Caenorhabditis elegans: one gene and its partner. The protein of the gene in region 2 interacts with the protein of the main gene of each other region in a pairwise test. Each region holds a gene or a part of one and is shown on either strand. Other genes may lie near its edges.

The links.
Region 1: the proteins of cnk-1 (region 2) and H28G03.3 interact in a two-hybrid assay, tested with the Caenorhabditis elegans proteins (one large-scale study listed by BioGRID).

The regions. Positions count from the first base shown.
Region 1 is NC_003284.9:5,224,275-5,228,031, reverse strand, and holds the start of H28G03.3 (BZIP domain-containing protein), read left to right. Parts: upstream 1-1,666; coding exon 1,667-1,727; intron 1,728-1,779; coding exon 1,780-1,854; intron 1,855-2,404; coding exon 2,405-2,458; intron 2,459-2,739; coding exon 2,740-2,763; intron 2,764-3,051; coding exon 3,052-3,090; intron 3,091-3,757.
Region 2 is NC_003281.10:10,269,609-10,273,365, forward strand, and holds the start of cnk-1 (Connector enhancer of kinase suppressor of ras), read left to right. Parts: upstream 1-1,648; 5' UTR 1,649-1,695; coding exon 1,696-1,777; intron 1,778-1,824; exon of another isoform or gene 1,825-1,867; coding exon of another isoform or gene 1,868-1,919; intron 1,920-2,132; coding exon 2,133-2,249; intron 2,250-2,300; coding exon 2,301-2,464; intron 2,465-3,049; coding exon 3,050-3,388; intron 3,389-3,757.

The DNA.
Region 1 (3,757 bases), on a different chromosome or scaffold from region 2:
TTCTCAGAAAATTTAAATTTCCCGCCAAAATATTTTTCTCAGAAAATTTAAATTTACCGCCAAAATTTTGGGTCTTACCACGATGGGTCTCACCACGATAGGTCTCACCAGGATGGGTCTCACCAGGATGGGTCTCACCACGATGGGTCTCACCACGATAGGTCTCACCACGATAGGTCTCACCAGGATGGGTCTCACCACCACGGGTCTCACCACGATGGGTCTCGTCACGATGAATAAATAAATAAATATTAATTAATTAAATAAATATTATTTAAAGAAGTAAATAATAATGAATTAAATAAATATTAATGAAATGAAGAAATAAATATTAATTAAATAAATAAATAATAATCAAATAAATAAATAATAATTAAATAAATAAATAATAATTAAATAAATAAATATTAATTAAATAAATAAATAATAATTAAATAAATAAATAAATATTAAACAAAAAAAAAATTAATTAATTAAATAAATAAATATTAATTAAATAAATAAATAAATATTATTCAAATAAATAAATATTAATTAAATAAATAAACATAAAAAGCCACACAGAGACGTGTTTCTTTCGTTTCTCTGTTCGTTTTGCCTGTTTAGAAATATGAGCCAACTGTAAAAACCTCAGAATTGACAGTTTAATTTTTCAAAAAAGCCTCTATTTCTTTTACATGTCTAGTGGTAATTCATGTTCCCAAACCGGACAATAGAGTGCGGCACATAAATTAAAGAAATACATATTTTTCTGATTTCCAGTTTCTAATATGAAAACGGTATCTGAGACAATACGAAGACGCCAGAGGGCAAAAAATGAAATTTCGAACTCATTGGGAAAATCTTCGTATTTACTAGACTTTTTTGGAATTGCCTTAGATTAGGTGATTTTTCAACAGGGCACTTGTAAAATTGGGCAACACAATTTTTGACAACCAAGGAGTACAATAATTATTTTTGCTGAATAATACTTAGTTCTTCCGTTCTCCAATTACTCGGTCACACTTAGCACTTTCCAGTTTATTCTGTTATAGAATTTGTTTCAATGAGTAACGTTTTTCTATTCAATTTGAGAAAACTGCTGAAGTATAAGCTTTTTAGAAAGATATTCAAAAAGGATTAACTGTTCTTTTTCAGATACGAAAAGATTAAAACGGTGTAAGATAATACTTAGAGTCCATTTCTACCTCATAATCTTTTTTTTTCTCAAAAACATTTGAAATACACGTTACCTAGCAACTCTGAGACGCAATAAATTTATTGCTTGACTATTCGAAATGCTTTGACCATTAAATTTTTTGACAATTGTGGCAGTTTCCGAATCTCGGATATTGAAATTTCAGTATTTTTCTGTTTGCTGAAAACTTGCGATTGCCGTTAGTTTGTATTATGCTACTACCGCATTTTTCAAAAAACAAACGTTGGTTATTAGTTCAGTTTGAGCAAAAAGATTCCTTGAATGTTTGCTATGATGAGTGTTTTTTTGTTGACCGCCAGAAACTGTATCTTATTTAAAATTTAGAGTTATTTGTGGGAATCTAGTGTTCAAAATGTAAATTTATGAGAAATTTATTCATAAGAGCCAATATTGTCACTGTACTTAACATTTTTGATGTTCTTATCTCAAAAACTTGGGCCTCATATTAATAATTTTGTTGCAGAAACAATGTCTGAAAAGGAAACCCAACATTCTACAAAACATGAACATGACGGGGACTTTGAACAGGGTACCGTTTGAAATTTCTCTAATTTGTATTAACTTCAATGTATTTATTTTAGAGTCTCTATCATCACCCGTCGACTATCACCCTCAACAAAATCTGGAGCAGGAGGACCTGGAGGAAATTGAAGCAGGTTCGATTTTTTCAGTCAAATCCTTGCTGTTCAAAAAATTGTGTTTCGCTCTTAAAAAATCAAACGAGGATCACTTGTATATTGAGTTTTTATAAATTGTTCGGATAAGGGTTAAAATTTATTTTTTCAAAACATTTTTTGACGTCGTTCCATTAAAAAACTCTTTTATTTGTTTTTAATTTGGGAGAGAAAAATGAAAGACGCCGGTGTGCCGCTAAGCTTCACAGTGCTTAGAACCATGAGACTTTATGCTGCGGGTGATTACAATTTCTTGCGAGATTACATAAATTTGCTTTTAAGCTCCAAGTGATGTCGCTGCAAAAGCCGAGTTGATGAAAAAACCAGTGTGGAGTTAGTTTTTACTTAAAATCGAAATTTAAACATTATTTTAACAGAAATTTGCTCTAAACTTTCCACTAGTTGTTGATCAAAAATTAATTGAAAAATTCGGCTAGATACGGTAATATCTCAAAAAATAATTATTGAAGAAATCACGCAAAAACATGCTCTATCCCGGTTACCCAAATTACAATTTGTGCATAATTTATAGGTACCACTTCGCCCACCTACAATCCCGGTTACGAAAACAGGATTGCCAATAGAAGTGAGTTTTCTAATTTATATGCTTGTTTTGAAGAATTATTGGTCAACTAATTCTGATTGTTTTTAATCTTGTAGTTTGAAACCACCGGAAACTTCTTGACATTTAGGAAACTTTAGGCGAAGTCTTAGTGAATTGTCAATTTTTGAAACAAATTTGAACCTTGCATATGTTTCAGCAAGAATAACTAAAACGGAAAAACAATTGAAAAATTACACAGAAACTAGTTTCATAGAAAATGTTTTCTTATTTCGGCTACAATAAGTTTTAAAAACATTTTGCAGGTCGCTCGCCAATCATCTATGAAAGTGAGTTGCCCATCTGTAATGATTATTTCAATGCTTATGTAGTAGCAGTAACCCAAAATTAAATGACTCATTAAATTCTATATTAAATGACAATTCGAAAAAAACGGAAGGTTAAGTTACATTTTATGCCAAAAATACCTAAACAAAAAGTTGTTCTAAAAATCACAGTAAATTTTCGAAAAATCGTTGAAAAGTTTAGCGGTACGGCTACTACATGAGTACCATGCGTTCGATTTTTGCACGAAAATGTATTCCAAGTCGTTTGAGTTTGTCAAACCAGCTTTTCAGGTACTTCCCCAAAATTTGAACCACCAGCCGATCACGAATGTAAGTTGATTCAACTGCTATGACCTCAAAATTTTCAAGTTGCTAGAAAGCACCATTCAACACAAAATCGATTTTTGCAGTTTTGAAATTACACAGAATGTGTTAGCTCTTTGATTTTGAACATATATATATAAATTTATCTAAAAGTCAATGTGTCCGCAGTAAATGCAAGTTTGAAAGTTATTTAATTTTGCATTAGAATTAACTGATGGGTACGTTTGAAATTTCTGTATCCCAAAGCGTCAACACTGAAAAATTTATTTCAAAAATTTTAATTAATTAACGTTTAAACTCTTAAAGTCAGAAACAGTATGGAAAATACAATATTGCCAACAGCCTTTTGATAAACTAGAAAAATCAAACAATTGAAAATTTAATTATTACTTTATGAGCATAATTTTTGCATCACATCGTAGAGTACACAACTAAATATCGTAAATTTAATGAACACATCTCATCACGTTTCTGATGAACCAGTTAAACTTTTCAAGACTTCAACATCTAAAAATCATATTTTAGATGAACCATTTATAATTCGATTGCATCTTATTGATCCATCAATCCATCACATCCATCGTGGTAAATTTAGACTTTTTGAAAACGATTTCAAAAACGAAAAATACAGGTGCGCAGAAATTATAGGGAATCTTTTTGCGCGCGCGAACTT
Region 2 (3,757 bases):
TAGCGGTGAACTGACAAAATGAACATCACAAATAGGTGAACATTTCTTTAGTTGACAATTTTTTGATATCTCGTTCCACTAAAAAGATATAGCTATGATTTGATGAATGAAGTCCCAGTTACAGTACCCTCTCTTAAAACCATCAAATCTCTGTTCTCGCTGAAGATACAAAAATATGTTCAACTGAGAAAATGTTAAGCAGATAAAAAACAACATTTACCAGCAAAAACTACATTTCTATCTACAAAAATAATAGATTTTGACTTTTGAAAATTGATCATCTTAAACTGGCCATGTCAAAAAATCCTGAACATTAAAATTGAGTTTTTTATCGGAAACATACTCTATATAAGATATCTAACAAATTTGTAGTTGACTACTTTCTTCTAATGTCTTTATTTTTTGAGTTATGAACTGATCTCTGATTTTCTCATAAATACGGCTTTCGGGGCCTGTAAAAAATTTGTCTTACTAGTTAGAAAAATATTGTCAACAGAAAAAATGTTCACAATGTCACACTGAACATTTTGTTAGTTGACAACTTTTTTGTAACTTTCATAGGAGCGGAGATAGGAGCATCCAAAGTGTGAGGGCGCAGTAGAGTGGGTACTACTGTATCAAAGCACCCAACCTTCTACATCAAATAACATCTTTCAACATTGACGGATTTTTATGTGTGATATGTCAAAATGTGCGTATTAAAAATTAGAACAATCGTATTGTTTCCGATTTTTGAGTCCAAGCCAACTATTTCCTGAAAATTTGGTCATTTTAGTACTGTAGTCAACCTTCTAGATCAAATAACATCTTTCAACATTGACGGATTTTTATGTGTGATATGTTAAAATGTGCGTATTAAAAATTAGAACAATCGTATTGTTTCCGATTTTTGAAATCTTTCATTTTACGGTCACTATCTTCCGGAAAGTGCTGAAATTTTGAGCTGTAAATGTTTGATGTCAAAAAAAGTTTCTCTCATAACTTATTTATTGGGGTTTTTTTGTATTAACTCATTAATTGGGAATATATTGAATACATTTTACAAAAAAAATTTGGGAAAAAATCTTAAACTTGCTCGTTTTAGAGGGGAATGTGTAATATTATGTTCACTCTCTTCACTTATTTCAATGACAAAACTATTCTGTGAAATTTATGCCAGACTGTAGAGGACAGTACTCTTTATCCGTTCCAATTGTTTCTTTTCAGAAATATGCAATTTCCTTTCTTCCCGACTCGTTCTAAGTGAGGTGGTTGAGCGCGCACTCTCGCCATGTTGTGGAGGTGAGAGACGCAGAGACCGCCTTTTTCTCTGCGCTCTCTCTGCGCATTTCTCGTGGTGGAGGCCGTGTCACATCGTAAATCGACAGGGACGAGGAGAATTCTAGGCCACGTCTCCTCCGAGAGGAGTACGCCGAGTTCTCCATAGGACCCGCTCGATAAATTGAGCAATGCTCCTTTTTTCTTGGAATTTTTGTTTTTAATTAGTACTGTACTTGATTTTTCATTTATTTTCATAACTTTTTCGCGAAAAATCAATCAATTTTAGTGTTTGTTTTCAGTTAAAAAAAGAAATTGTTGATTTTATGCAACCTTCTGCACTTTTTCCTCAATTTTTACAATTAATTTGGGAAATTCTGGATTCTTACAGCTGCAGCCAAACTAGCATAATGTTGTGATTGTTCCGAATTTTTGAATATGTTCTCAACCACAATGGGATTTCCGTCGACACCACTTGAAGCCAAACAGGCGTTGGGAATCTCCTCTGGGATTAGTTCAGGTGGGCACAGTTTCTCGGCTACAGTAACCGTGGATACTGTAGCCGGGGAAGAAACTAATTTGTTCGAAAAATTGTTTTTCAAGGACTTTAATGTCCTCACTAACCCGGCACCTTAGCTTAAAACATAATTCACCAGAAACAGGTAAAAAATTGATTTTTGCGAAACTTTTAATTGGGAAAATCCACAAAAATTATTGATTCTTCAATTAAATTGGCGATATTTCCAGAAAACCTTACATATTTAAACGAAAATGAAGCTATTTCCAGCGAAATTGGACGGTTTCTGATTTAAAAATCCACAAAAACTGAAAAAAAAACAGATTTCTTCATTAAAATATTTAAATTTAAATTTCAGTGTCATCCGGTCTCCGTTCGGGAAGTCCGATGCTCTCCGCCAGCTACGAGCCCCAACTCTCGTTTGCCCGATGTGTTGAGCAGTGGAAAGGAAAAGAAATTGCAAGATGGATTGAAGGTTTTTATCGCCGCGGAAAAAAATATTCACTGAAAAATTAATAATTTCCAGGACTTGGCGATCAAATGAATCCATATTTGGGCATGATTCGTGACAATATAAAAAGCGGAAAACAATTGGAGGCTCTCGACGACGATTCGCTCAAAAAAATTGGCATTTCGGCTCTCGGAGCTAGGAAAACGATTTTTCAGGCTGTTTCGTTGCTTCTCTACTTTGTAAGATGGAGTTTTCAACAGGAAAATGGATTTTTTTCGAAATAGAATTTTCAGCAGTTTTTGCTGAATTTTCAACCAATTCTAAAAATCAGCTGTAAAGCTCCACAAAGTTCAGAAGAGATTCTAACTTTTCCGCAAATTTTTGAAGTTTTTAAGATTTTTTTTTGAAAAAAAGTGTCTTTTCGGAGAAAACCACTATTTAGTGAGAAAAAACTTCCATCGGAACTAAACATTTTGTGCAGAAAAAGCTGCTAAAAATCATGAAAAATGGTAAAAAATTATAAGTTTTCTAGGATTTTCAGTCGATTTTTTAAAAATTTAATGATTTTTAAGAGATTTTGAATTTTACTAACTTCTCCGCAATTTTTTCAAAGATGTTTTAATGATTTTCTGTCTACTCTGGAAAAAAAAACCAAAGTAGGCATTCCTGCCTGCCTACCGCCTAATTTTGGATTTTTCGCAGAAAAATTCAAAACTTGCTTTGTACTAATCTCCTGAACATCAAGAAAAAACTCTGAAAGTCTAATTTTTCAAGATTTTTTATCAGAAATTTTGTTGATTTTTAAAAATTATTTTCATTTTCAGTGTCACGAATCGGAACACGAGAATCTCCAACGCCTGGCTCAACAAGTAAAAACCTCGTGTCTCTACGTAGAACGCACGATGACGTCAGCGATGCGAATGCGGGAGAAAGCGATCCGTCGATCGGAAATTGTGAATATTCTGAATAGTGTGTCAAATGCAGTGTTACAGCTCGCCGAGCACACGAAACGATTCGTTTTTTGGCTTGATCGGACTCCGTTTGACGAGGAACCCGAATTTATTAACGTTAGAAATAGTGTTTCTTCTTTTATGTGGAACCTATTGAGAAATGTTAATGTACAACCGAAAGCTTTGTTTGAGACTGGAAGTCAAATTGTTAGGGTGAGGATTTTTAGGTTATCGATGGGATATTTTGACTGAAAATTTGAATTTTAAAAAAATTTGAAAAGTTTTTTTTCAAATCAGACAGTTTCTGAAGATTTCAATGAATATTTCTCAAATAATTAAAAATATTTATTAAAAAACTTGAAATCGAAAAATAATCAGCTTCAAAAGTTTCAGAAAATGTCGGATTTAAAATTTTTCAATTTAAAAAAAAATCAGATTTTTGCCAGAAAAATGTAATTTAAAAAAATTAATTCTTCAGACAATATCTATGATTCTTAAATTTTTTAAATTGATTTTTCTGCAAAAAAATTGGATTTTTTTTTCAAAATTGAGAAAACATCCATTTTCTAATTAAGAACATTT